2 linked regions of the Notamacropus eugenii genome follow. The protein of the gene in region 1 interacts with the protein of each later gene in a biochemical or structural test. Links are inferred from orthologs where the notes say so. Each region holds a gene or a part of one and is shown in the gene's direction. Other genes may lie near its edges.

Region 1 (15,036 bases):
ATGTTGGGGTACAAATGTAGGGGAAAAAAAGTAGAGTGTTGAACTTCTTTGACTATGCTTGGTATGTTACCCCTCTATTACAGACAGCATAATAAATAGTGAGCTAGGTTCTGGGTTTCTCTATGCCTGTCTGCTTTACTGTTTTTTTTTGTGATATTGAATATCAGCTGTTACTTTGCTTTTTAAAGTAATGATCTATAAAAATTATCCCATTAATAAAAAAATAAAAATAAAAATTTTTTTTCTCTTTTAAAAAAAATTCAGGTTCAATTTTATTTACAACTGAATGCCTGAGCCGTGGAAGAGTAAAAGAAGCCGTCTCTGTGAGCACAGCTATACAATGTAGAAGAATAAACAGAATAGGAAGTTTCTTTTTGTTCGCATTTTCTCCCTTATTTTTCCCCAAATTGCCTCATACTTTATATTGTTTGCATAGTAAAGTGAATCTGAAGAACTGTTCTAGATAGTGGTGTAAACAAATGTGATAATGTATATTTCACTTTTGGTTCTACCCATACTTTTTGTACAACATTAAACAAAGTGGACCTGTTTCTATTCGCGTTTTTTACTTCATATTAAATTTTTTTTTAAAATCCTTACAGGTGAGGATCATAATATTTCCTTTTAGTCTGGTGGTTATTAATGGAAAGCTGGAGATTTAGTGTACCAAAGTACAGTGGCCCCTGTTGTAATATCATTGTAAGGGTTCTTGAAGCATAATCATGTTTTAGATTGATGATGAGATCCTTTAGTTACTTCTGAGATCTAGGCCTCCTCACGTGGATTCTAAGGATTCTTCAGAAAAATAGGGACCCTCAAATATTTGTTTGGAAATTGGTGAGACTGTGTTTCAAAGTCAAGATATGGGTGGTCTAAAATGAGAGACTACTCTTCAGTTTTTTATTTAATGGAAAGGTAAGTCTATATGTAGGATATTTTGTTTAATATAAAAACATGCCATTTGATATGGACCTGTCTTTACAAAGTATTTTTAAAACTTTAGTAAAAACATTGATCTATAATGGTTAATTGACACCCTTTAAGTACATGATTTTCATGGTTTTATTCACTGGCTGTTTTGGTACTCTGAGACATGGATATAACGTCATAAATGTTAACCTAAAGAATGTGAGAGAGAGAGAGAGAGAGAGAGAGAGAGAGAGTGTGAGTGTGTGTGTGTGTGTGTGTGTGTGTGTGTGTGTGTGTGTGTGTGTGTGTGTGTGTAAATTGATGAGAACATAGTCATGGATATTAACACTGAAAAGTTCATTCAAAATATTTTTTGTAATCCAAAATAATTTAGCAGTGAAGAAAGGACAAAAGCTAACTTTTTATATATATATATATATATATAAGTAAAAATACACCCCCCAAATGAAGACTTTAAAATCTGCCGAATTAAGTTTAAATTTATTTGGAGAAGTTTTATGAATGAAGGAATTTCTCCAAATACAAATTAATAATTTCTGATTTTTTAAGATGTGTTTATGTAATTAAAATTTTAATATAGAAATTATTGATAATGGGCTTTAATGGAATGGAATCAAGAGCTAATTTTTATAACTGATAGCTTAAAGTTTATATAATTAGGTATAAAATCAATATACAGCAGTAAATTGATCTTATAAATGAATTCTCTTGGGTCCCTAATTATCTCTGATACCTAGTACAGTAATTATCTGTTAAATAATCCCACATGTGGGAATTAAGCATTATTCCTAAATTCTCTTGTCTATAGTTGAAAAGCAATGCATTTTTACTTGCTTTTTGCTTAAATTGATATACTGATTTTCAGAAGAGTACTGTAGAATTGAGCTGAGGCTATGCTAACTAAATGTGCTTTCATAGACTGGAATATCACCTGAAACCTTGATCATGTTTATTTGCTATTATGACCAGATGGTGCCATTCATCCATTTAATTAGTCATTTAGGAGTTATTGGTCTGACTTTTGGATGACATCAGTATGTTCCGAATATGACTTTATTGAATAGCCCTGTCCAGGAAGTTAGGAGGATTTGATCTGGAAAACCATATAAATAATTGCTTTATGTCTGCTTGTCCTCATTTCACAGGCAGTGCAGTCTTATCCCCCTTTTAATTCCTCCCCTGTAGACAGTTGCAAACTGCACTGTCCTTTGAATATAGTTGCTTCTCCAAGAGAAACCATGTGTAAATACATCTGGGCCTTTCTTGATGTGCTTTTTGATGGTGGGAGATTGGGCAGTGCTTTGTGTGTCTGTGATAAGTATGTATGATTTTTTTTCTATTAAAAAAAATCTTGGTCAGATTTTTTTTGTTTCTAGCCCAGTTGTGTTCTTCATACCTTCAGCATTTACCATGTAGCCACTCCCTGTCTGACAAGGTAGGATGCTAGCTACAATTTTAGCCCTTCAGTGAACACACTCATCTTTACATGAGAGGCTAAGTGGGGCAAAAAATAGAATTCCATAAACTGAATTACATATTACTGGACTTCATGCAATCTGGACTGAATGAATTTAGCTTTGGCTAAATGGAGTTAAATTTTGTCTTAATAGTTGACAGTAATTATTAAAGTTATATGAAATTATAATTCAGTTGACTGGACTGATTTTTTTTCTGCTGCCTCTAAACTTGTTATTCGCTGCCATGTGGTGACCACAGTTACATAGCGAGTCCCAATCCAGTCCTTTCATAGGCTTTCCACTTTTTGCAGACTTTTTATGTCCCTTTAAAAGCAGCATTTCTACAGGAAATAGAAAATCAAGCATATTCCTACATTAAACAAATGTAAAAATTTTCTAAGCATTATTCATTAAGTCCCCATGATATGTGAACTAACAACAGTACTAATTTAAAATTTATTTAATAAGGTTTATGAATGTGTGTTTGTTCAACAAGTTTCTATTCACTGACATTTATTTATCAAGTATTTATTGAGCCCTTATCAGGTAAAAGACATTAGATTCCTTGTTTGATTGTTTTAAAACTGCAATATATAGTATCATTCACTTTAAATATTCAAAGGAAGTTTGAATATTTCTGGCTGCAGTAATCGTCACTGAAAAGTGAATTCAGAATAGCCCTTAAAGTATTCAGTAGACTGGGGCAGAAAATGTAGAATCTATATTTATTTGCCTTAAGATCTCTTCAGTGTCAAAACAAGCATTTTATATGGCCTAAATTTTTTTTATGTATGAAACTACAAAAATAAACTAATATTCTAAAAGTCTTTAGAAGCACTAAGACTTGTGAAACTTTGTTAAGTAATTAAAATGTAGTATGATAATACTAATTAGAAAATGCCAAGTTTAATGCAGTAGATGGAGAAATTTTTCTGTCATAAATGATTTTCCCATCCCTACAACTTGCAATTACTTTGTTACAGTACTTTCAAGTAAAAATTTAACCTTTGAGAACTGCACATGAAGGGAGTGTGATTCAGTTTGCTTAGTGGGTTTGTACTTTTCAATCTTAGGTAAGAAAGTATAAGGTTTTCCAAATGACAGAAGCTAACAGTCTAGTCCATTTGATAACTCACAGCTTGTTCCAAATGAAAATCCCTTTCTAAATTTAGAAAAGTGAAGTATGTTGATTCTTCAGTTCCTACTTGTTTTTTAAGGCATTTAGTCTCTTACGTACTACAGCGTTTCTGAGATCATATCCTTGGAGAAACTTTTGATTACCTGATTTCAAGAGGCTTAACATTTTTGTTAGTTAATAATGGTTGGAACAAATTGTACTGATCTCTAAGACAGCTTCAAGAAGCTTGCTGCTTTGTGTGTCTTGCCAAGGAAAGTTCAAAGAAATGTTTAGAACTATAATAATTCCACCTCTGCATTTTATAATAGAGTAATGCTTCATAATTCTTCCATCACTGAAGTATTTGATTGCATTTAATTGGACTCTTGGTGTTTGCCTGAATCATTTAATGATTAAAGAACAAAAACATAATTTGAATTGGTCAGTAAAGTCCATTTTACTAATAATGGCATTTTCAAGTCACTTCTACATCTTGGCAAATTTGTTATTTTCTGAGAAACTGCTTGAAATCTGGTGCTAAAAGCTAGTACTGCTTTGTATAAATAGTTTGTGTTTTAGTGACAAAGTACATCATAAAGGTGGAACTGTAAGTAGGGAAGAATGTGCCCAGTTAGGATGCTAAGCCATGGAGGGCGGGAATGTTGCTAATGTTAAATTTTTATATCGTCTTTAAAGGAAGATGTGTACGCATCTTTAGTTTGGCATCAATAGCTATTTGCAGTATTAGATTCTTAGAAACTGTAAAGATATAAGTTCTGGTTTTATTTTTACATATAGAATGCAAGAGCTTAGTTTAAAAGGTCATTGCTGTTCCCTTTGTCATTTTAAATAAAAATCATTTAAAACAAAGATTCTGTGAGTGTTTAGGAACAGGTCCCCTTGTATAGTAAACCTCTTCTTCTCATTAGAAATTCTGCCTTTTTTTTTTTTTTAAATGAACTCCTATGGTAAAGAAGGTTTATTAAGTTCTGGTGTTTGAAATTAACATCAATATGTACCCACTTGTAAAATATCTTAACCACTTAAATTAATCCTACATTTAATGTTCAGAAAGCTTAGTCTCTTTGCAAAATGGAACATAAATAGAAAGCTGTTATGCACAATGCAAATTTTATTGGGGGGGTGGAATATGTGTAAAACTAAATGTAGAGAGGAACTTAAAAACCGTATTTTTTAAAAAGGGAAAAGGATGTGTCAAGTTATCTTAAAATATGGAAAAGTAGTAGTGTGACATGTAATATTAAACTGAAAGGACTTTTGACAACATTTACTTATAATTGTAGGGTATCATCTTAAACCTGTTGGGAATATCTCCCATTGCTAAATGCACTGTGGCTTGGATTTTGATAGGGTTTAAGATAGGAACTGTACCTGTGATTTCATGCAGGCCTGCAACTGATAAGTCTTAGAAGAGGAAAGTTTGCCCAGGTTCACAGAGTTAATATAGTATGCAGTAGAGGGTTTAGTTCATTTAAAAATCAGTACCAGGATTTATAGTTGCCCTGCACATCAGTAATTCTCTTAAAAGACTATTACCTTTTTACCTTATTTTGAGTAACTCAGTGTAGTAAAAAGAATTGCTGGGTTTGAACTCAAGAGCACCCAAGTTCAAATCTTGGCTATTATAATAACAGTTTGGACATAGATAAGTTATTTCTCCTTTTTAGGCTTCAGTTTCCTCATCTGTAAAATAAAAGAGTTGGACCAGAGACTCCAAGGTTCCTTCCAGTTCATAATGCTATGCTCTTACTGCTTATATAAAACAAGGCCTTGTTGGACTGAATCAAGTAGTTTTCATACCTTGATCAAATATTCTTGGATCCTCCCCATTTTTTTCTCCATCATGGGGATGGAAACACCATAGTTTGTAAACGTTGGAGGGAGCACAAGTGCTTAAAAAGTCATCTTGATGCAGTGAGGCCAATACAATGGTGACTAGTTAGAGACGAAATTACTAAAGTGGTTGAAAGCACCTTCAGTTTTTAGTACTCTGTTAAGCCCAGGGAATAAATAACTGGCTGTTGGGGGAATTTACTTCAACATACAAGTATTGAGCCAGGTTGTAGGTATTACATTTGACCGATAACTTTAAACTTCTAGTTCCACCTCTCTTATTGATGAAATTGAGGGCAGGAGGGTTTAAGGTTGCCTAAAGTGGCTCTCCACGGCTGCAAACTGCCTCTTTTTCTAGGTAGTTCTCAAAGTAATTTAAAATGACAGTGCAGCACCAATTTAAAAAAAAAAAAACTGATTTAAGAAAATCCTCAAACATGAACCTATATCCATATATATCCAAAGGTGATGAAATGGGGATTAGGTGTGAAACCACGAATGTATTAAAGCTTATTTTTTAAATGACGTTCAGCCTGGTAGGACCTACATCACCCTACTTGTTTATGTCCCCTTCTGAATTTGCTTCAGCATTTAAAATTTTTTTTTTTTTTTTTTTTTGCTGACACATCTTTGTATCAATGTTGCTGCCTTCGGTGTTCTTGACAATAAAAGCCCTCTGGCAACAAGCACCGTCAAAACTAAGAAAATTTATGATGGGTGTGTTGGAAAATATCTCATTTCACAGTTACAATGAATCATTCGTTGGCAGTGGTGTTTTGTCTGGTTCTTCAATTCCCTTTTTCTATGCCGTGGTTGTTGCACAAATAGTTATGTTTCTGTTCGATCTGCATCAGTTGAGTGAATGAAAAAAGGACGGAAGCGCTTCTAAGCCAAGTACTGTTCGTGACCCCTTTGGGGTTTTCTTGGCAGAGATGCTGGAGTGGCTTGTTCTTTCCTTCTCCAGCTCATTTCACAGATAAGGAAACAGGCAAACAGGGCTAAGTGACTTGCCCAGGGTCACACTACTGGGACTGCATTTGAACTTGGGGAAAAAACTGTAGGCTGGGCACTGTTCTTTCAGCTACAGTTCTATGCAGCTCCTAATCCAAGAAGCCAATGATAACTGATATTTGTAAAGCACTTGATCCTCAGAGTAACCCTTCGATGTGGGTGCTATTATCTTCATTTTACAGATAAACAGGTTGAGGGCCAGTAAGTGACTTGTCCAGGGTCACCAGGGAGGAACTTGAACTCCGGCACTGTGGCTCCCAGCCCACCGCCAGAGCCACCGTATTTCCCTCCAGAATGGAGTTGGTGCGCTTAGCAGCTTTCGACTTTTAAAAATCGTCAGTTCTCGAGGAGACGGAAGCTTTCCGAACTTAACAGGTGACGGGAGTGTACGAAATAATTCTGTTAATTTCTTAGTGAGAAGGGAGGCGGCGGGGGAGGACCGGTCGAACCGCTCAGCAACCGCAGCTTCTTGGGGGGACCTCGCGGAGCGCCGGCCCGGCCGAGAATAGCCCACAGCGCGGGCCGGGCCGAACGGACTTTACGCTGGCCGGGGCCGGAGGTCAGGTGGCCCTAGTCTCCTCTCGGCCCCTCTCCTAGCCCCAAACCCCGGTCCTGTGCCTGCAGCCCCGGAGCCGTCCCTACCTTGCTCTGGGCCTCAGTTTCCGCCTCTAAAGTCTGGGGCCCTGGCTGCCTCGGGGCCCTTCCCGCGACTAGTTTCCCCCGAGCTATTTTGGCTCTTCCGATCTCCCGCCCAGCCCTCGCGGGTTTATGATTTCTGGAGGCGGAGGAGGGAGGGTCAGCTGCGCCGCCTTCAGCCCCAACCTGGAGGCGGGCGGCTCTGGGCTCCGCGGCTCGGAGCGGCCCAGGAGAGGGCCCGAGGCCGGTCGGGTCCCGCCCCGGGGCGGGAGGGGCGGCCGCCGGCCCCGTGGCCGAGGCTCTTCCGCGCCGGCAGGGGCAGTAGCGGGAGCGGGAGCGGGAGCGGGAGCGAGCGGCGGAGAGCCGAGGAGCGCTGTCGCCGTCGCAGTCGCCGCCGTTTGGAGGAGGCTGCGCGGGCGGGAGCGAGGGAGGGAAGGAAGAAGGGAGGCAGCTCCGGGGCCTGCGAGGCGAGGCCCGGGGCCCAGGGCCGCTATCCCCGCCACCATGCCGCTGCTTTTCCTGGAGCGCTTCCCCTGGCCCAGCCTCCGCACTTACACAGGCCTCAGCGGCCTGGCGCTGCTGGGCACCATCGTGAGCGCCTATCGCGCCCTCAGCCAGCTCGAGCCAGGCCCCGGCGCCGGCCCGGGAGAGCCCGAGGCGCTCGCCTCGCCTCAGCAGCCGCTGCAGCCCCAGCCGCCGCAGCCCAGCGCCCTACCGGGCCCCGGGGGCCCCCGGGCCCGAGATGTGGCCCAGTACCTGCTGTCCGACAGCCTGTTCGTGTGGGTGAGTGGGTGCGGGGGGGCTGGGCACAGGGCGGAGGGCTCGGAGGGGAGCCCGAGTGGGGGCGGGGCCGGGCGAGGGGCGCCTGAGCTGGAGGAGATCGACAGCTCTGGGTAACTGGGAGCTGTGGGTTAGGAGCCTTCATGTTTTAGGGGATCCTGCAGAGCGCCCCTGAAAGGACGCCTTTGAGTACGTAAAGACAATCACCCCCGCACCCCGTGTCCCTCCCCTCCCCCCCGCACCCTCGGATAGGAGGCAGCATATCAGAGTGGGCAGCGGAGACGGAGTTTATGAACGTCGGGGTCACCGCTCCAGCGTGCGGGGGTGTACTTATGAGACAAATGAGTAAACTGAGGGCCACAGGGGGAAAGCGACGTACTTGTGGTCACAGGGGTAGAAAATTCGTGGCTGAATTGGAACTCCACATCCTTTTATTCCAACTCCGGTGCTTCCATATGTGGATGGGAACTTTTTTTTCCCTTGAGATCAGCCACATTTGGGGAGTTTTTTTTAAGGAGCGTGAATTTCAGAGGTTGTCAGCAGTATAACTGTATTAATGAGCTTTCCAGAGACAGGGAAGAAGAATGTTAGGAGCTTTGATTCTGAGTGATCCAGAATTGTAGACTTGAGTGTAGACTTCCTTGTCTTGGCATGAATAAGGCCCATTTTTTCTCACTGAAAGATCTTGTTCTCTTTTACCGCTGTCTAGCAAGGACCTGTTTGCGTGTTTGGTTTTCTCTCTTTACTTAACCATGAAACCAATATCCAGACGGAGGCAACCTACACTTTCAGAAATATAGCTTGTGCTGGCACGTGAACCGAGAAAGGAGTTAAGAAAGTCGAGAAGGCCATACATAAATAGCCAGTCTAAAAGAGGGGTATATATCCGTGTGTGTGTGTGTGTGTGTGTGTGTGTGTGTGTGTGTGTTTCTCGTGTAAACCATGCAGCACCAAGTACAGTTACTCCACGATTGGAGACTGTCAATTTCGTTGTCAATTTCGTTGTCACTCACTTTGCCCTTTTAGGTCAGTGTCAGCCTCTCTGTGACTATTCACTTGGTATCCAAAATCACAAGAGTGTGTGCAGTTCCTTCAAATTAATACCACTGTTTCAGAAACAGATTTATAAACTTGAGAAGATTATAGAGATGTTCTTGTTATTTTGAAATTCGAATTCTCCTGACTTTAAAAGTTAGGGATATATGCAAGATACATGAAATTTCTTTACCTCTATTTATACTGGGTCCATTTGTTCCATGTAGCACTGATACTCTGTAGTAGCGTGCTATTTTTAGGATAGCAGTGGGGAAAGAATTCATTTCATTCCATTGAAATTTTAAGTGAAATTAATGTTTTGTACTTTGTTTAGTTTGAAAATTGCTTACTTTAAATGGGAAGAATGGAGTTTGACAATTCTTTAAGGTTATAATATCTTTAATATGTGGGGGGGGTTTTCTTAAAACTTAAGATATAAATAAGTCTTTGATAAGTAGCTCTTGTGCTTATATAACAAACAGTCACTGGTATTGTTTAGTGATTTTTTCCTAGGGGTTTCTTCTTACATATCTACTGTTGAAATTCCAGTAGTCTTAAATATATTCATAAAATATTAGGTAAAGCCTAGTGATTTTTTTGTGAGTTATTCTTTTAAAATTGTCTTTTCCCCCTCATTTTTCTGTCTGCTTTTTAATAGATGACTCAGTTTGAGGTTTCTATTTCTTCTGTATGTGGATATATTTTTCATTTCTTAGTTGATCTTTTTCCTCTCCTTTTTCTCATATTTCTGCTTTGCATTAATCTTGACTTACTGCATTTCATTTACCTTCTTACAGATTGGTTTGTTCTTGCTTTACTTTTTCATTTCTTACTCTTTTTATTCCTTAACCTGCTTTTTTGCACTGGAACATTACTGTAATGTTGTTCGGAGCTGAGAACAATTTGGTATAATGTAGTGTCCCAGAGGAGTTTGAGTTATTGAAGTGTCTAAAATAATCTTATAATGAATTGGTCTTGTTTATAAGATACATCTATGGCATGGATCCCTAAGGACACCAAGGTGAGTCTCCATGGTTCTTAGATTAGTGACTTCTTTGACTTGTTCTCTTCTGTTTTACTATAGGTTTTTTTTCCTTATTGGTTTTCAGTGGTCTCTACTTTCACCTGCTATCGTGTGCTATTTTGCATTGCCTGGCTTTCCCTTTTGTAAAGGTAATAGGCACTATTATATTTTCAGATTCATTTCTCTTAACTCTACACTTCTGTTAATTTGGCATGATGGTAGTTTTTCAAGGCTTTTTGTATCCTTATAAGTACCTCTTGAGCTATTGTACCAGGCCAGCTAAAAATTATTCAGCTTCTTTTTTCTTGATACATTATATTTATTACCTCCTTTTTTCTCTTTCCTTTCCTCTTTTGTTTATAGAGGAAGGCCTGAAAAATTTTGAGAAATAGATACAACTTTTACTTTAGAATATGAAGTCAGTAAATGTAAAGATGCAGTTTTGGTAGAAGGTTTAAGGGGAAGATTATAAGAAAAAGAAGGGCATGAAAAAAATAAAAAGTAAAATTCTAAAATAAATCCAAAAGTTTTCCTTTTAAAATGTCCTGGTATTGAATAGTCACAAATTTCAAATATTTTGGGTGAACATTGAAAAAAAAATTGATTGCTTGCTTGAAAGTAGAGGTAACTAAGATAAGAAAAATAATGATAATAATAATGATAATAATAATGACACAAAATAATAAGTATACGTGGGTAAATAATTTAGAAATAAAATAAAATAAACATTTTTATAAATAATTAAAGAAATAAAAAGAAAGGAAAATTTTCCCAACACTCTTGTGGAGAGTACATGTAGACCTAAATACTTTTAGTGACCTAGGAATGCCCATTTTAGAAAGGATGAGGAAGAATATTGCTGTTGATATAATATGGGGACAGTATTTGTTTCTGATTCCTAGGACTGTTCAAGGCACGAATGTACAGAAGAGTACTTGTTCAAACAAAAGACTTTAGTGGGAGCCAAATCAGTTGTGTGCTTACATTTTTGGAGGGAAACCAAAAAATGTCCTAATCAATTTATGATTTCAGGAAATAATTTCATATGATATAATCATGTATCATGTGCTCATAAATAATCTCTGTTGGCTGAGTTTTAGTTTGCCATAAATACAAATACTAGTACAAAGCCAGAGCAACCAAGAATAATAGAAAGGAAGCAGAAAACTGGGAAAGAATTTTTATAGCCAGTGTCTCTGACAAAAGCTTCATTTCCAAAATATGTAGAAAACTGAATCAAATTTATAAGCATACAAGCCATTCCCCACTTGATAAAGGGCCAAAGGATATGAACAGGCAGTTTTTCAGAGGAAGAAATTAAAGCTATCTATAGTCATATGAAAAAATAATCTAAATCACTATTGATTAGAGAAATGCAAATTAAAACAACTCTGTGGTACTACATCACATTTATCAGATTGGTTAACATGACAAAACAGGAAAATGATAAATGTTGGAGATGTGGGAAAATTGGAACACTAATGCATTGTTGGTGGAGTTGTGAACTGATCCAACCATTCTGGAGAGCAATTTGGAACTATGCCCAAAGGGCTATAAAAATGTCCTTTCCCTTTGATTCAGCAGTGTCACTTCTAGGTCTGTATTCCACAGAGATCATAAAAATGGGAGAAGGACCCATATGTAAAAAAAAAAAATTATAGTAGCTCTTTTTGTGGTGTCCAAGAATTGGAAATTGAGGGGATTCCTCTCATTGAGGGGATTCCCCATCAATTGGGGAATGGCTGAATGAGTTGTGGGTATATGAATGTAATGGAATACTGTTGTTCTGTAAGAAATAATGAGCCAGGTGGACTTCAGAAAAACTTTTTGGAAAAAACTTGCGTGAACTGATACTGAGTGAAGTGAGCAGAACCAGAACATTGTGCATAGCAACAGTAACATTGTGTGATGAACAGTTTTAATAGACTTAGCTCTTCTCAGCAATGCAAGGACCTAAGACAATTTCAAAAGACTCATGTTGGAAAATGCTTTCCACATCCAGAGAAGGAACTATGGAGTCTGAATGCAGATTGAAGCATACTATTTTCTCTTTTTTTGTTTCTTCCTCATGGTTTTTCCCTTTGGTTCTACAATATGACTAATGTGGAAATATGTTTAATATGGTTGTACACCTATGGCTTATATCAGATTGCATGCTGTCTTGGGGAGGGAATGGAGGGGAAGAAAACTTAAAACCAAAAGTTTATAAAAGTGAATGTTGAAAACTAAAATAAATATTTTAAAAAACTTGTCATCTCAGTGGGCTATAGAATTAAGAGGGTAATTGACTTGCCTGGGATCACACAGCATTTATGTGTTGGATGTGGTGCTTGAATTTAGATCTTCTTGGTTTTGAGGCCAGCTCACTCTTTAACAAATTAAGGAATTGCTCAAAAAGTAGACATAAAAGGGCATAGTGACCATCAATCAAACATCGACAAGAATTTATTAAGTACCTGTTATATGCCAGATATTATATTAGTTATGGAGATGACTATTTACTAATAATCTCAAAAGCATTTTTAAATTGTTTAACCTTAAAGTAATTTAAGGTCTCTCTTCATCCTGTAGTAACCTAAAATATATTTTAAGATAGAAAATATCTGGGAGTTAGACTCTCCTGACATACTTAAGACTCCCAAGTAAAACTACAAAACACTGCAGAAATGAAGGAAGACTTAAATAATTAAAGGGCTGCTCAGTCCTCAGTTGTTGAGCCATGCCAGCAAAATAAAAAGAATGATACTAAATTATTTTACAAATTTACTATCGTGCCAATCAGACTAATAAAGGGATAGTTTGTAAAACTACACAAAATGATAAAATTCATTTGGAGAAACAAAATATCTAAAATATCAAGGGAAACAATGGGAAAACATAGAATGAAGGTCATCAAACAACGTAGCAAAGGAAACAGAAAATTAGAATAGTATGAAGGGGGAAGTACCTTTTGCAACTGCAGATAGGGGGAGAATTCTTGACCATACAAAGTTGCATGAGCACAGTCAACGCAGATGGAATAAGAAGGGAAACTCTGAAAAATCTTTCTATCAAGCATTCTTGGCAAGTTGTTAAACTTTTATGGCCAAGATATATGGGGAATTGACGCAAATATAAGAATTAGAGCCATTCCCCCATGATTAGTGGTTGAAAAATTTGAAGTTTTTGATAGAAACTACAATAAAAAGAATGCTTTACATAAATAATACTGTGAAATAAAACCTAAGTTTCACCTTAGCCAGTTAACAAGCATTTTATTAACCACTTCCAGGCAGCTAGTTGGTGCAGTGGATAGAACAGTGGGCCTGGAGTCATGGAGACCTGAGTTCAGATCCATCTCAGATACTTAGTAGTGTCACCCTGGACAAGTCACTGAATGCCTGCCTCAGTTTCCTCAATGGTAAAATGAGGATAATAATAGTACCTGCCTTCCAGAGTTATTGTGAGGATCCAGTGGGATGACATTTGTAAAGTGTATTGCAAATCACGTCTTGTGTAAATGCCAGCCATTTTAATGTGTCAAAGCACTATGCTAAGAAAGGTAAAAAAACATCGTCCCTCTTCTCAAGGAACTCATCATTCTCTTGGGGAAACAACTTTTACAAATTGCACGTAGGAAATATAAACAGTATAAATGGAAGATAATCTCAAAGGGAAGGTACTAGCAATGAGATGAGCATGAAAGGCTTCCTGCAAAAGGTGGAATTTGAACTTTCTTGAAGGAAGCCAGGAAGGGAGAGCGTTACAGCCAAAAGAGATAGCCAGTATAAAGACATGATTTTGGGAGGTAGAGTGTTGTGTGTGAGGAACAGCAAGGAGAAGGGGAGCAAAATGTACAAAGAGTGGAAGGTAGCGGCAGAGAAGGGCTTTAAAAGCCAAGGAGAGGATTTAATATGAAGTAATTTTGGAAGTAATATGAAGTTACCGGAATTTATTGAGTAGGGCTCCATACACAGACATGAAGTGAATGAATGAAGAAAGCATTTATTATGCACTTACTGTGTGCAAAATACTGTGTTAAACCCTGGGAATACAAATAGTAAGTAAGTAACAAAAGGTAAGACAGTTTCTTCTTGTCTTCAGTGAACTCATATTCTGATGGGGGAGATCACATGGAAGGTTCCAGCTTCAAGTCAATAATAATTACTAATATGACAATAGCTAACATTTATATAGTACCTACTATGTGCCAGGTACTGTACCCAGTACTTTACAAACACCACCTCATTTGATCCTTACAACAATCCTGTAAGGTAAATGCTGTTATCTCCATTTTTATGGTTGAGGAAACTGAGGCAAACAAAAGTTAAATGACTTACCCAGCGTCATACAACTAGTAAATGTTTGAAACTGTTTTTGAACTCATGTGTTTCTGACTCCAGGCCCAGCACTCTATCCATTGTGCCTTCTAGCTGCCTCAAGTTAGATGGGAAAGTTCCATGGTCTTTAGGATGCAGTGACAAAGCAGATGGTAATGCCTCTTCTTTAATGCCTTTCCATTGCTAAAATCATATCAGTTTCTAATCTTGAACTGTTTGACAGTGCTAAGGACTTTGGTGACAAGGGCTTTCATTTTTGGGTCTTCTAAAGGGGTGGCTGTAGCACCTGTAGGAGCAGCGGTTCCCCAGGTGCATCTTCACAAGGCTTGCCTCCCAGGATGATGGCGGAGGGCACTGGGCCAGGAGCAGTGCTGGTCCCAGGGCTCTTTGGCTTGGATCCTGGACTGTTTATCAGGTTATGAGAGGAGATGGTCAAGGTGTTAGTGGCAGATTGACTTGTCTGGCACACACTGCCTCCTGTCTCTCCCTCATACTCTGCAAATAGCAAATATGACCCAAAACAAAACTGAAACTGGTTGTGGGAAACAAGCATACTGATAAACTATTGGTAGAACTGTGAATTCTTCTAGCCATTCTGGAAAAACATTGAATTATCAAGTCACCAACTAGTTAGTAAGAACTTATTATATGCTAGGCACCATGCTCAGAATTGCACAAGAAAAGTGACTAAACTGTTCATACTTTTTGACCCAGCAATGCCACTACTGGATATTTTTCTCCTAGGAAGACAAAGAAAAAAAAGCCTTATATATACCAGAATATTCTGTGATAAACCAAGAACTAGAAACCAAGTGGGTGCCGGTGCATTGGGGAATGTTTGAAAGAACTGTGGAAAATGAGTGTAATGGAACA
Region 2 (15,437 bases), about 540 kb from region 1:
CTATGGACCTAAAATAGGACCCAACAACTAACGACCCACTGTGTTAATGGATCTGATGGGCAGGTGGGAGGAGTCACAAGATGCTGATGAAGATATCTACCTTCTGGCATAACTCCATCCCCAGGGAAAGATCAAATGAGAGATACAGAAAAGAGATTTAAAAAAGAAAGCAGAGTTGACTTAGTTCAACTAGACTAGTAGATTAAGCATCTGTTACGTATAGAACACTGTCCTGGTTATTTACAGGGTATTTCAAAGTTTAGGCAAGACTTCTTTACTGCTGTTGTGGGACTTAACAGCATCCCAGAGGGACATGTTGCAAGAATCAAGGAGTAGAAGTTGTCAACCTGAAAGTTTTGTTAAAAAAGGCAAACAGGCTAAATGCATATTTATTCCCTTAAAGCTAGTGGTTATATGATCATGGAGCCAGAAAAACTTCTGACTAATACAAGAATGACCAGGCTTAAATCTGTTTTAGGACAATCCAAGGTTGTCTGTGTCCTTCAAATTTATGGTCTGCATGAGTGATTAACTATACCAGAATTTCTTAATTGGATAGGTTCTAAATACATAAGATAAGAGAGTTGACAGCGTTGATTGAAATTACAACTCAGAACAAGTGTTTTCTCCATCATTAACATGTCATAACATACTACATGTCCACAAGATATTTAAAAATAAGTCCCACTATTCCAGATAGTGTCTCAGGTTCAGGGTCTCATAAGGAATGCTAAGTCAGCCCCATCTGGCCTTGCTGACATAGGAAGTTTACTCTGAGTTTACTTCAGAGAACAAAGAGACTGTTAGGTCCAAGTTCTTCTTAATTCAAGCTCTGGCCCTTATTAAAGTCCAAAAATGATATTAAATATTATCAAAGTTGGGCTTGATATAATGATATAATTCCAACAATTAGAGCTGGTCACATGACCAATGGCATACTTCAGAAGGCAATGCCTGCCCCCTAATTAGAAACCTTTAAGCAAAGACTGGAATAAATACCTTCAGTGGATATGCTGTGAAGATTTGGGATTTTTTGGGGGGGACATTTGGGTTGAACTTGGTGGCTCCTGGAGAGAGTACTAACAACTAGGGGAATCAAAAACAGTTTTCTATTGGGAATAACACCTGAGCTGACCCCCAAAGGAAGTTAAGGATTCCTAGAGACAGAGGTGAAGAGGGGGTGTACAATCTTAGTCCACGCTCACTTTCCAGACTTATTTCATATTGCTTCAACTAGCAGTTCTGCTAATTTAATATTCATGTAGAAAAAGCACGTTATTGGGATTCAGAGGAGCTGATTTCCAATCCATGACTTTCCAATTTACAATCTTGGTCTCTCTGAGCCTCAGTTTACTAATCTGCAAAATGAGGGAGCAGGGGGCAGCTAGGTGGTGCTGTAGATAGAGTACCAGGCCTGGAGTCAAAAGACTCCTCTTCTTGAGTTCAAATCTGGCCTCAGACACTTACTAGTTATGTGACCCTAGTCAGGTCACTTAACCCTGTTTGCCTCAATTTCCTCATCTGTAATATGAATTGGAGAAGAAAATGGCAAATCATTCAGTATCTCTGTCAAGAAAATCCCAAATGGAGTCATAAAGAGTCATACAGGACGGAAACAACTAAACAACAACAAAAATAAGGGAACTAGAGTAGATAAACTTCAAAGCTTCTTCTGTCACTAAATCCATAAAACCTATAAGCTCGCAGGTAGAATTCCTGGCTACCTTCAAAAATCTACACAAGTATCACTTCCTACCTGAAAGCTTTTTAATGCTCTCCTAGCATGCTATTATTGAAATTCTTTCTCTAGTTATATTCATTTATACTTATTGGTGTACATTTTGTCTTCTCTGTAGAAGGTAAGATCCTTAGGGGCAGGGACTCTTTTTTTTGTTTTGTATTACCCATATCTAATACAATGCCTTGCACATAGTAGATATTTAATAAATGCTTGTTGAACTGAACTAAAGAAGATACCCCTTCTGGTTGTCAGAGATATTGACAGAATTGGTAGCAACATTGTGGGATCTCCATACTCATAGGATCACAGAAGCATAGGATTTGGAATTAGATGGGGCTTTAGAAATCAACTAACCCAATTCTTTCATCTTGCAGTGAAAGAAATAGAAGCAAGCCTACAGAGGTGAAATGATTTGGCTAAGGTCACACAGCTAGTACTGGTGGAGCTAGTATTTGAACACCGGGCATAAAATTATGAATTTAGAGCTGGGAGGAACTTCTTAGGCCATTTAGGAACCTTTTTATTTTTACAGATAAGGAACAGTTTGCCCAAGATGAGAGAGAGAGTCATCACTGGAAGTGGAATTTGATCCTAGGTCTTTGGACTTTAGAGTCAGTGTTCTTTCCAGTACAAATCAGTTTAGAGTTCATGACCTGGTTATGTGTGAGATAGTCCCCTTTCATATTGAGCCATTTGTTGCTAAGTTTAGTCTCCTCTGAGTTCTAAGAGTTACAATTTCTCTGCTTCAGAGTCGTGAGAGGGGTTTATTTTTTAATGTGACAAGTTGTAGCATACTGGGAAGATAGATACAAATATGATTTATCTAGGTGGCACAGTAGATAGAGTGTAGATTATGATATATATATATATATATTATTCTTGAATTTGCTTTAATATAGAAGCACCTGTGATGTTGACAGTTTCTTTTGTATTATTGTTAAGTAAATGATGTTAAACATCTAATGGTGTTATTATTGTGAATGGTTGGGTTGTTTTTTTTTTTTTTATAAATAGAAGCACAATAATGGGGGCTCAAGAACTAGAGTGGCGAGTAGAAGGAGTTATCCTTAGAGCTCTGAGAGAGTTTGTGTGTAGCCATGTAACATGGGTTCCTTCTCTGGGAACCTAGACCTGCCAATGTGAGAGCAGGTTGGAGTGAGCAAGTTTGCCCAGAGAGTAAGTAGACGGCCATATGTTCTACATGAGATTGTGAAGTACTATAATGAAGTGCCACATGAACCCATTAAATATGTAAAGACTAGAGTCAAGAAAGAGCAGGTCTGGGAACTAGGTAGGTGGAACTGTTTTCCTTGCTGTATAATAGTTAAAAGTTTTGAGTCTTTATACCCAGCACTCAGCTTCAAACAATGCAAAAAGGCACCCAAACTATTGATCCTTTCTTGTTGGATCCTCTATAGAATACAGAGAAGGCACACCACCATTGTTCTTGAGGAATTTGCCTTTTAAGACTTCATCCAGTCCCCACATTCTCTCTCTCTTTTTCTCTCTGTCTCTCTCATTGTTTCTCTCTCCCAAGACCTCACTTCTGTATAGCTTTAATGTTCATAAAGCAATTTTCTCATAACAACCCTATAATATAGGTAGTGTAAGCATTTGTGGTTTCTGAATCATGGGACATTCATGGGATCATAGATTTGGAAGAATAAAGTTTAAGAAGTCATCGAGTCCATATCCCCTCATCTTACAGACAAGGAAACAGGTTCAGAGAAGTTAAGTGATTTACCCAACTCATACAAGGAGTAGCTATCTGAAGCAGAATTTGAATCCAGGACTCTCTGACCCCAAATCCAGTGCTCTATCCACTACACCATTTTGCCTTATGTTTCTTATTTTGCTGATGAGGAAATTCTGATTTGTTAAGCAACTTACCCAAGGTAACACAGTTAGGAACCATCAGAAATAGGGCTCAAATCAAACTCTTCTGATTTCCAATTTTGTGTTCTTTCTATTACACTAAAAGCCAAGAAAGAAAACACAATCTTCCTATCTAAATTAAAACTGGTTAGCTAAGATGACTTATTGTCTGAGACAGTTTATACTGGCTCCTTTCCATCTGAATCACATTGGTGTGGAAATAGCCCTAGATTTGGAATGAGAGGACCTGGATTGTAATCCCAGAACTGCTACTTACTCCCTGTGTGAATTGAATACACTGCTTCATCTCTATGGACCTCAATTCACTCAGCATTAAGATAAGGGGACTAAACTAGATGAGCTCAAAATGAATGAATAAGTGAATAAATGAAATGAATGAATAAATGAAAAAGCATTTAATAAGCACTTATGTATAAAGTACTGGAGGTATGCATAGAAGAACAAAACAGTCCCTGTTCTCATGGACCTCATATTCTAATTGGGGAAAACAGACAGGAAGGTTTCAGCTACTAGTCAGATGGAAAGTCCCGGTGGTCCTTAGGGTGAAGCAGCAAAGCAGATGTAAATGCGTCTTCTTTAGTGGGCATTTCCTTTAATAAAACCACATCCATTTGTAGCATCCTCACCAAGTCTACTTCCTCCAACCTCTAGTGACATTGACTGACTAAGACCCCAGAGGGAAATTCAAAAATAGGGGGTTGGGGTGAGGAGGAGAAGGTCTTTTACTGTTATTCATAAGTCATCATTCACAGTGATTATCAATTAGCTAGCCAGAGTTAATTAGCTACTAGAAATGGATATTTATGAAAGTTACAAAGTAAGAGTAGTTGGTACTAAATATTCCCCAGAATCGGGGTACAACATTCCACATGCAAGGTGCTTAGGAAGTACAAGCTCAAAATTTTTAAGCTAAGGTCTTTCCCAGGTCTCAGTTTGTCTGAGGCAATCTCCATTCAGTGATTCAGGCTAGATAAGAAAAGAGATGAAAGATGGCCTAATTTGACTTGCCAAAAGAATCAGTCTGGGAGTATAAGCCCCTCAGAATTTCTGGCCAGAACAGAAACAATTGCTATTTACACTCACTCTGAACCATCAAAACCCAGTTTGATATAATAATGAGAGTTGAAATAGATAATCTCTAAGTCTCCTCTCAGTTCTAAAAATCCTAGGACCCTATGATTCTGGGCCCTTGATTGTTCCATCCTGCTCCCACCTCTTCATGCATTCTCCTACTAACATTTCTCTGTTTCTATTGATAAAGTTGCTATCAATTCTCCTGGAAAACCATGTGCTGACATTGGAACTTTGAAGACTGAATGTACTAGAGATTTTACTTTTTTTGATGGGATTTTGAGACTGTATTATGCCTTTCTAGGTGCCTTCCAGTTCTAAAAATTATGAAACTATTTTTAGTAACCAGAAATGAATGAATTTTCCCCTAATATTTTCCCATTTTTCTTTCTCCTATCCTAGAGGATTATATCAGGACTCCTAGAGAATACCCATAGCACTACATTGACTCTAGACTTTTAATCATTCCCCAAGCATTCATTAAATGTCAGGCACTATCCCCTATTATGGAGCATCACAGTGAATAGAGCACTGGGTGGGGAATCAGGAAGACATCTTCCAATCTGGTCTCAGATACTCACTAGGTGTGTGACCTTGGGCAAGTCACTTAACCCTATTCTCAACTGTGAAATGAGCTGGAGAAAGAAGTGGCAAACCACTCCAGTATCTTGCCAAGAAAATCCCAAATGAGGTCAACAACAATCCCCTATTATTGGGATACAAAAATAAAACAAAAGTCTTTGATCTGAAAGAGGTTATATTTAAGTGAGATGGGGTAGGAACAATGTCTACAAGAATGGAGTAGTAAATACAAAATGCAAAGTAATGAGAGACAGGTTGGGATACTAGATAGTGAGGCAGCCTCTCAGTCAGGAAGTCTTGGGTTAAGTGGCCACCTCTGACACACACCAGCTGTGTGACCTTAAGCAAATCAAAATACTCTGATACTCTTGAAAACCATAAGTTATAGAACAGGTCCAGATCTGTAGTGACAGAAGGATTTTTCTTATCTGGGATTTCTCAATATCAATAAAATCAAAGGCCTAATTTAAAAAAAAGGAAAATGTAACATGGGGGGGATTTAATTGGGGATGTGATCAGGAAAGGTCTCTTTTGGAACGTGGCATTTGAACTGAGGCTTAAAGGAAGTTAAAAGATTCAGAAAGGTAGAAGTAAGGAGAAAGTGCATTCCAAGTAAGGGGAAAAGCTGTTCAAAGGCACTAAATCAAGAGATGGAATGCTGAGGACAGGCCAGTTTAACTGGAATGTTGAATACTTGATGGCGAAATCAAGTGAAAGAAGGCCAGAAAGGTGGATTGTGTCCTTATTGTGAAGAGCTTTAAGCTCCAAACAAAGGAGTCTGTATTTTGTAACAAAGTATCTTGAGCAAGGGAAAAACATCCTCAGACCTGTGCTTTAGGAATATGAATTTGGCAACTGTTTGGAGGAAAGAACTCTGTCAGCAAATCTTTAAAATCAGGTAGTCTTATCCTGAAGATGGTGACTTTGTTTCTTAAATATTTTGATAACTGTGTTTCAATATAATTTATTTCCATTGCAATTTTATGTATTTTATTTTATGTATTTAAAAACGTGATTCTGACAAGAGATCTATAGTGTTTACAAGACTGCTAAACAGGTCCATGACATGCACACACAAAGGTTAAGAAACCCTGTTTCAAAGAATGGTATTCCTAGATTAAGACCATTCAGATGTAGTGGAAAACACCCATTAATTTGGGATTTGGAATCTGGGTTTGAATCACTACTCTACCATAAGAATCTCAGAGGCTCTCTAGTTCAACACACTCATTTTACAGGTGAGAAAGCTGTGAAGCCTAGGAAGGTTGAGTGATCTGATGAGGTCATGTAGATAATATACAAGTGGCAAATCCAGCTAAAAACCAGGGTCTCCAAGGTCACCCTACTTAACTCCTTGTGCAGTTTTGGTCAAATTACTTCCCCTCACTTTGTTTCTGCCTCTTTGAAATGAGATGATTCCTAAGATCCTTCCAAGGTCTAAATTCTCCTATACTATGACTTTGGGATTTCTTAAGACCGGCATAGCCTTTGTCTTTTCTGACACACTAGCCCTTGAAGGCCTGTGGGCTGAACCACCAAGTTCAATCTGACGTCATAAACGTTTGTCAAGCACCAGGTATGAGTAAAGCACCGCAAGGCTCTGGATTGACAAAGACAACGAAGTCACAAGGAGCTAACTAACATCTATCTACACAGATAACATATACTAGAAGGTAGGAAGTAACCGTGTCAAAGTAGGGATCCAGATAAAAATGCTTTATGAACATGTGAGGAAATTTGCCAAAAAATCAGACAGAAGGGTTTTGAAACAAAGGGCAAAGGTATCATCTAAGGCAGGTCGGGGGATCGTCTGTGGTCAGGGGGCTGGCAGGGCAAGGATTATGCATTATGACGAAACCATTCAAAGAGATTTCGAGGCTGTGGACGCAGGCTGGGATACTGGCCATGGTCACTTCAGAGTTCAGCCGCCTGATGGGACGAGGTTCAAGGAAAACCAGCCTCAACGCCCCTGAGCCCCAAGTCCCAGTCCTAAGCCTCACTGTGCTCCAGGGTGACGCAACTCCAGGCTCTTGCATCAGTCTGTCCTCAGAGTTCCTCTCGGCCCCGCCCTACTTGGTCCAGCGGCTAGGAACAGCAGCCCAGCTTCTCTTCCCCATTCGTGGATCTGCGCTCCGATTGGGCCACGTTGGGGCTGACCCTCGGCTTCAGCCAATAGACTTCAGCCACAGTGTATCCAGTGTATTCGTTCGCAGAGGCGGGGAGGGGCTGCCCATAAAAGGCGGCTGGGTTGGGGTCGCGCGCACCAGAGCAGGAAACTGTCGTTCGTTCGGCTGTTTGTCTCAGGCTAGGGTGGGAGCAGAGGCGGCGGCACCGCCCTCTAGTCTGTCCGCTCAGGCCGCTGCGGGCCGAGCCGAGCCTTGGGAACCCAGAAGACATGGAGCCCGAGCCTGTGACCCTCTTGGTGAAGAGCCCCAACCAGCGGCACCGGGACCTGGAGCTGAGCGGGGACCTGAACTGGAGCGTGGGCCGCCTCAAGGCTCACCTGAGCCGCGTCTACCCCGAGCGACCGGTGAGGCCGGGGGACATGGCCCAGCTTGCTTCCCTGCGCTCTCGGCCTGGCCTGGCCTCTGCGCCGCTCCCAAGGGGCGATTCAGAGCTGAGGGGGTGGGGGGAACCTTAGAGATCGGCTAGGCCTCTCCCCGATTCTGCAGCAGCTGTCACCTGTTTCTGCTGTTCCTCTTCCCCCCGCCGTCCTCCCCCACCCCCACCCGCCCCTTTCCCTCTGGTCAGCAACTGTCCCCTGCCTTCTTGTCCATTTGTCACCGAGTCCCCCCGCCGCGCCTTGCCCGCAATTCCCTTTCCTCCTCTCTGCTGCTCGCTAACTCCCTTCCTGTCACCCCTTCCCCGCCTTCATGTCTCCCAACTTCCATGCCTGTCTTCCTCCACAATTCCCCCACCTCCGAAGATCTGTGTTTTCTCACCAGGTCTCCTCCTTGCTGTCGGCCTCTACCGCCTCCTCTTCCTCTCCTCCATCTCCTCGCTCCAGTCCACTTCCCTTAACTCTTCCATTCCCTCCCCCTCACAATTCTCATCTGCTTCCCTCTTAACTCCCTGCAGTTCCTCATCCTCCTGGAGTCTGTCCTTTCCAGTAACCTCTCCACCTAGATGTCCTTCAGTCTCTCTCCCTCCCACCCATCCACCCAATCCACCTCTCACCCTAGTTCTTCATCCTCCATCTGCCTCAGCCCACTTGTCCGCCTTTCTCCAACCCAAATCTTTCCCTGTTCCACCCCCACGGAGCGGAAACAGTACTAGAGGAATGGGGGTGGGGTGGGGGCAGAAAAGCAGGGAATCCAGGAGCCTGGGTTTCTGGTTCCAGTTCTGCCCCAGGACTCTGTGACCTTGAGCTTCACCCTTCTTTGACCTCAGTTTTTTCCCGAGTAAAAGAAGTGGCTGGATTAGATGTTCTCCAATGTCCTCAACATAGTTCTTTAAAAAATTATAAAGTTTCTTAATGTTCTTTGTGTCATCTGTTACATAATTGTGTCTGCAAATTTATAGACAAACAGTGGGCAGGTCTCCAAATCCTTTTCAGTGTTAACACTGACTTGTCTTCATCCTTCTCAGTATTGATACTATGACAATCCTGGGTTTACCCTCACTGGGAAAGACTTGGCTTGAAAAGTCTGCTCTCCTCTCTCCCACCTTCCTTTCTCCTGGCTCCTTATTCCAGTTGCTGTGTACCTAGCTAGGTCCTTGTTCTTGCTGGTACAGAGGCATTTTCTTGTTTGGGTGGTTATCTGAGATGAACTCTTTCTGAAGCAATGGGACTTTGTGCCATGATGGCAGTGTCTTCTCTTGTTTGGGTGTGTTGTCAACCTTTCCTTTTATCTGAAGCCCTTCCTCCCTCATGTGATCATGTATGAGTTGTTGGAGCCTTTGTTTATTTACCCTGTGGCCTTATGTAATAGGCAATAGTAGTGTTTGCTTCCAATTATATAATTCTTAATTATGGGGAGCAAAAAGAACCAAGGTGGCAGGAAAGGATTACAGAATATCTGTTTTAGAAACTGTTACAGCACAATACATTCAATTTTATTTAAAGTTAAGAAGAAAGAAGTTAAAACTTTCTGAAACTTAAGAACATCTGGGTAGTTATTTTTTCCTTTGCTTTAATGCAGTTACTTTCTTTCCAGGCTTCAAGATTTAGTTTGGCTTATTGTTCAAAATCGTTTGCCATTTTTTGTTTTGTAAGAAAACATTCGATTTTGTGATTTTGTTAAATATATTAATTAGTGACATAGAGTAATGATAGGTAAGGTAAAGCCACAAGAATTTATTAAATACTCCATGCTCTATGCCAGGTACTGTTTTGAGCTGGTATTTATGGAACTTTCAAGTTTATAAATGCCTGAAACTCCTACTGCATTGCTTAGGTGACTCTGGGTTCTTGAAGGCTTAGTCAACAAAGCACAACCTCTTGAGAGTCTCTGCCAGAAAAGACTTGGAGGAGAGTCCCAGCAACAGATTATGTCAGTTTTCTGGCACAGCTCAGCCACTCGAGACTCATTTCATCCCCAGAAGGCGGACTCCTGGATGAGAAATTCTTTGGTCATAGTAGCCTGTAAACATCAAAATACAAAATGGTGCTCAGTTTTCTGAGTTTCCTGAAACCAACTTTCATATCTGGAATGGCAGAAAAAAGGGGGAGAGGAAAGAAGAATCCTAAGAATTAATAGTTTTTTAGAACATTTATAGGTTTTAATGTATAGGCTTAACTATTGATATTTTAAATAAGAGAAAATCCTTACTTAATGACTAAAGAAAAGTACCTCCCATTAGAAAAGAATCATATCAACCTTGACATTCTCCTTAGAAATCAAACCAGAAGACAAAAGGAAGTTGTAGTTAAATAGAAGAATGGCTTTTATTGGAGAAATAAATAAAGGAACTAATGGAATTAGTGCTCATCCAAGACAACAAGAACAGCATCATTTCATGGAACATTGGCCATCTAATATCACAGTGTTCGTGACAAACATTTACAAGAGGCCTCTGTGAAGATAGCTCCAACTTACTGCACTAACAGCTATTGAAGATCTGAGAAGGTAGAGGAATTTAATGAACTTGATAAAAGTTCTCCCTCCAAATTCAGCATAGAAATCAAATTATCTCAGTAGTATAAATGCAAAGTTTGGGACACAGCAAAAAAAAGTTGGAAAATATGGTTTTGGAAGTAGAAAGGAGAGAGCTTAAATAAAGGCTTGCAGACTATATAGAAGCCTCATAATCAGTGGTACTATATGAGAAGAGAGTCAGGAGGCTTTGGACCAAATAGCATTATTAGAGAAATGAAATTGATTATATTTTAACAAATAGGAACTGGTTGCTTAAAATGGAATCATTTCCAAATTAATAGAGTCAAGACAATCAAATTGTGAGAGCAAATATCAAAATCAATACCAAATGAGAATAAAAAATGCAAGATCAAGATCCTGTGGATTTAGAATGATAAAGAACTACACTAGTCCAGTCCTTTTATTTTACAAATGAGGAAATTGAGACCCAGAGAAATCAAATAGCTGGTAAGATGAGGTCTGAACTAAGATCTTTTGATTCCACTCTATTACACTGCCTTTCTAAGGATATTGCAACTTTTGGGGGAAAAGGTATTATCTTCACTTAGAATTTGCGGGAGATATTTTCCTTTTTTAAGGGTTTTATATCCATCAGGTATTAACTATTACATTTTAAATCCTGTAATTCATACATTCTTTTGTTTGTTTTTTGTTAAAAATTGTAAGACCTCTTACCTTTAAATAAGGCAAGATTCATTTACATGAGACCAGTTAGGAAACCTTGTAAATTTAAGCCACTTCTAAAAGGTGCCCAAGGAAAAGAAAATCTGATAGACAAATCCGTGTGTGCGCACGCGTACATGCGTGCATCTATCTGTCTACCTATCTGACATATTTCAGTGGACTAACTGCAGGAATCTTTTAAGTGTCATTTGGAAATTTCTTCTTCCTGGAGGTAAAATGATAAAGAGATCTGTGTTACATAGTCCTACCTGGTTTTTGTGGAAACTAAAGTTTAAAAATATAGTCTTGGAAACCTAATTCAGATTCTGCTTTTCTGACTGAAAAGTACAGATTGTATATAATTTCCGGAACAAGTTCCAGATTCAGTGGTAGGATAACTAGAAATTAAAAAGCCATTTTTTCCTATGAATTTTAGAAGTGGAAAGAATTTTGCATTACTAAATATTGGGTATCAGTGAGAACTGCTGGTCAGTTGAATATGCTTCCTAAATTTAATATTTTTATAGATGTTAAAGCAGTACCTTTGGAAGGATTTTTTTCTGGAGAGACTTGAGGAAAATCAGCATATCCAATACTTTTATGCAGAAGAGGTTGTTCAGTATATAGGGAATTGACCTGCCACAGTTAAAAACTGAATTGTGATTTCCATTCTGTTCCCTCAATAAGCGAGAAGAGGACCAGAGATTAATTTATTCAGGAAAGCTGCTGTTAGATCACCTTTATCTCAGAGATATACTACCTAAGGTATGTTACTTATAAATTAACTTTTGAATATACTACCAAGTTCAATTCAGCATATAAGGACCTTATATGGGTTTTTTTTTCTAATTTTAGCATGAAAAACGGCATGTCCTTCATTTGGTTTGCAGTATAAGAAATCCTTCAAAAATGCCAGAAAAGGTAAGTCTAGTTTTTCATATTGCTTTGAAAAATGTCACCCAGACTCTTGAGCAAAAAAGCAGTTGAGTTTAAACTCTCAAGTTATCATTTTTTAGCTGTAATATGTTCTTTTTTTCTCTTTTCCCAGGAAGGATCAGAAATTAGAAATGGTACTTTAAAAATAAAGTGACAGTATATAAATATTAATACAGATGTCAGCAGGAAAGAAAACAGTTTAATATGAACAAGAATATTATTTGATCTACATATACTTGCATAACCAAATTCATGAACTAGCAGGGATTTTGTAATATATTTTTATTGCATTTAGACCATTTTAAGGTATGACATAGCATAGTGCTCAACTTTTGATAGAAGGTAAATGAGTGACTATCTTTTGCAAATTATTTTCCTTGACATTAGTATGTGAACATGGAATATTCAATTGGTTATCCAAAAACCAAGATCTTTATAGATTATAGAACCCTTAAACATGTTAGACTCAGAAGCAGGTATTCAGCATTGTTTCCCAAGGGATAAATAATTATTCTTGGAAATAGAAATCTTAAATTTTTTCTTATCCGAAGTTTTATTTTTAAAAAACACAATGATACAGAAGACCCCAGTATTCTAGGAATTTTGACTGTGTTGTATAGATGAACTTGATAGGTTTAAATACAAAAAACAGTGTTTGGAATTTCATTTGGCATTGTATTTATCATATACAATTGTGCTAAAGATGCACTGTATCATCAGGAAATGTTCTCACCATTAGACCTGAGTTTTCACACTTGTAAAACTAAGGCATTGAAACAAGATATCCAAGCTTTTCCTCAGATCATTCTCAAAGATTTTTATGACCTTCTAGTTTAAGGCCTTTTGTTAGATTGAGTGAAACCAAAAAATGCTTACATTAAGAAAGTATTAGCTGTTTAGTACCCATAGACAAAGTACTGTGTTTAACAACTTGAAACTTAAATAATGGTGAAACTCAATTTATTTTACAAAAGCTTTTCTCATAACAACCTAGTAAGGTTGGTAGTAGAAATGTTGTTAACCCCTTTTTTACAAATGAAGAAACTGATGCTCAGGGAGGCTAACTGACTGAATTTTATAGGCCCAATAGCTAGTAAGTGTCAGAGGCAAAATACAAACCCAGGGTGTGTAATGCCTCCAAATCTGGTACTCTTTCTACAACATTATGATGCCTGTCTAAGTGTGGGGAAAAATTAATTGAAAAGTCATGTTCATTTTCAATTGATTCCACTGGATGCATAAAAAAATAAAGTTTAGTTGTAGAAAGGAAAATCACAAGATCAGGAAATATTTGCAAACCCTTCCTCTTTCCCCATCAAAAAACAAAACCCCAAACCACTCTAAGCTATCTTTCTTTCTTTCTTTTTTGTAAGCTCTATTTCTTAATATTGCATCAGCTACATTCTGAATTAAACCTCCAACATTCATATTGGTATTACTTAGGTTTCTGAATCCAGTGAGCAGCCTACTGGACTGAATCAAGACCAACTTTCTTCTGTAGACTCCTCAAATGGTGGATTAAGGCAAAGGGATATTCTTCATAATCCTTCTCCACTTGCATGGGAAAATAATTCAAGGTGAGTGTATGCTTTAAACATGGAGGTTGTTTTTGCAAACACCAAGTACAGTTTCCAATTTAAGAAAACTCTACAAATCTGAATGTTAAAAATGGGTAAGTGTTTTGCCTATATTCATACTTGAAGAAACTGCTAAATTTCAGTTATAGGTTAATGAGAATAAATATATGAAGCTTTTTTTCCTGCCCAAGTTAGGAGCTGCTGCAGTGATCTCTATTTACATATAACTTTTCAGGACTATATTTGCTACATAAGTGATGTGCACACATATTTGGATAGATCCTTTACCAGCAAGTCATCATTTATCAGTTTTGCTTTGTTTGATAACAACAGTCTCCACAAAGCCTTTGTGGAAAATTAAGCTGTTAATTTGCCACTCTCAATGCTCTAAATGTAGAAATAATTTGAGCAGCCTGAAAATTTCTTCTATTCTTTTCAAATTATCCTTAAAGTAGTTTCTGTAGATTAATTTGCTTTTAGATGCTGTTCTGAAACCATATTTCAGAGGAATAAATTGACTAGGTTATTTTTCAAGACAATTTAGGTATAAAATGAAATTACTAGATTGAAATATTGGGAAGCCATTGTGGTACCCTAAGTTGTACAGAGCACACTATATATCCCACCAAGGAGTGATAGATTAATGCAAAAGGGAAACGTTATATATCATGCTTAAGTTCTTTAAAACAGGAGAATTGTAGAGTACAGAAGTACAAGAGTATAAACGATATGTTCTTCTCTAATTGAGTACAACTGTAATGGCACTGGATATGTATATAGTTAAACGTGGGAGAAAGAAAATAAAATAGGTTTACAAACCTGTGGGTTCTGGAAGAAAAAAAAGTTGCCCTTGACAATGGATGCCTGATTTTATTATATATTTACATGAAAAACCTCTTCTATTAAGTTTTATTTCATTCTTTCAAATTTAAGTGATATCAAAGCCCTTTTCATAGTAGCACACACTGTATTACCCAATGTGACAGGGATGATTTGGATTTTTTAGTAGAGTAGGCATTTTTTTTTATACACTGTGTGTGCTCTCTCTGACGATGGCCGGGTGGGCAAGCATGTGACCAAGCTCTATGCATAAAGTAGGGAGGCTTGATAGTTTTTGTGCTTTGTTACTTATTTATATAGGATCTATAAATAAACTTAAAGGTCATTTTGGTTCAAATGGAATTATGGAGCAATCTACTAAAGGTTAAATAATCATCCTGAAAATCTAGAATGTTTTATTTTCTCTTTTGGTTGGGAAAGGTTTTTGTTGCAATGTGGGAAAGGGGACAAAAATTTCAGTGTTGGTCATTCAATTACCTTTTGATTTGAATTAAGCAGAAAACAGTCATTCTACTAATAAGGCTGAAATGGAGTTTCTTTTGCCATTCCCTAGATAGCTTTAAACAAACAAAAATGTCACTTTTCAGAAACATTCTTCAAAAACCAAGTGTAGACTCTGCCCTTCAGTAGCCTCTGCTTATGAAATGTGTGTGTGGGTATAAATACAGAGAATTAGATATTGATACAGCTAGAATATGAAAATTAAATGTGAATTTGTGACTTTTTGGTGGTAGATGTTCTGTCAACATAGCTTCTGCCTATTTTCTACAACGAAAAGGTGAAAGAAGTGGGAAAGGAATTAATCTATTATGTCAGTTTAGTAGAGTCCATTATCATGATACACAGATATTTGTAATCAATTCTTTTCCTCTGATTCTTGCCAGTTTATTCCATTTTCAAGTTTTAATTAATTCATCCATCTCTTAAATATATGGGTAGATCCTACTATATGTAAGTTATTGAGAATCTAACTTGGATTCCCCTAGCTAGAGTATAAGCTTTAGTTTTATTTCTTTATAATAAGTAAAACCT

Evidence for each region.
Region 2: of the proteins of AMFR (region 1) and HERPUD1, one has a biochemical effect on the other in vitro, tested with the Homo sapiens proteins (6 studies listed by BioGRID and IntAct, with this or other methods). The link is inferred for Notamacropus eugenii from reciprocal best matches to the Homo sapiens genes AMFR and HERPUD1.

Annotation. Positions count from the first base shown.
Region 1 is NC_092872.1:473,915,984-473,931,019, reverse strand, and holds the start of AMFR (E3 ubiquitin-protein ligase AMFR), read left to right. Parts: upstream 1-7,192; 5' UTR 7,193-7,509; coding exon 7,510-7,788; intron 7,789-15,036. Other genes in the region: NUDT21 (cleavage and polyadenylation specificity factor subunit 5), read left to right, coding at 265-286. UniProt on the Homo sapiens protein: E3 ubiquitin-protein ligase that mediates the polyubiquitination of lysine and cysteine residues on target proteins, such as CD3D, CYP3A4, CFTR, INSIG1, SOAT2/ACAT2 and APOB for proteasomal degradation.
Region 2 is NC_092872.1:474,457,636-474,473,072, forward strand, and holds the start of HERPUD1 (homocysteine-responsive endoplasmic reticulum-resident ubiquitin-like domain member 1 protein), read left to right. Parts: upstream 1-7,475; 5' UTR 7,476-7,685; coding exon 7,686-7,820; exon of another isoform or gene 7,821-7,907; intron 7,908-8,232; exon of another isoform or gene 8,233-8,333; intron 8,334-8,601; exon of another isoform or gene 8,602-10,359; intron 10,360-11,739; coding exon 11,740-11,817; intron 11,818-11,907; coding exon 11,908-11,973; intron 11,974-13,431; coding exon 13,432-13,565; intron 13,566-15,437. UniProt on the Homo sapiens protein: Component of the endoplasmic reticulum quality control (ERQC) system also called ER-associated degradation (ERAD) involved in ubiquitin-dependent degradation of misfolded endoplasmic reticulum proteins.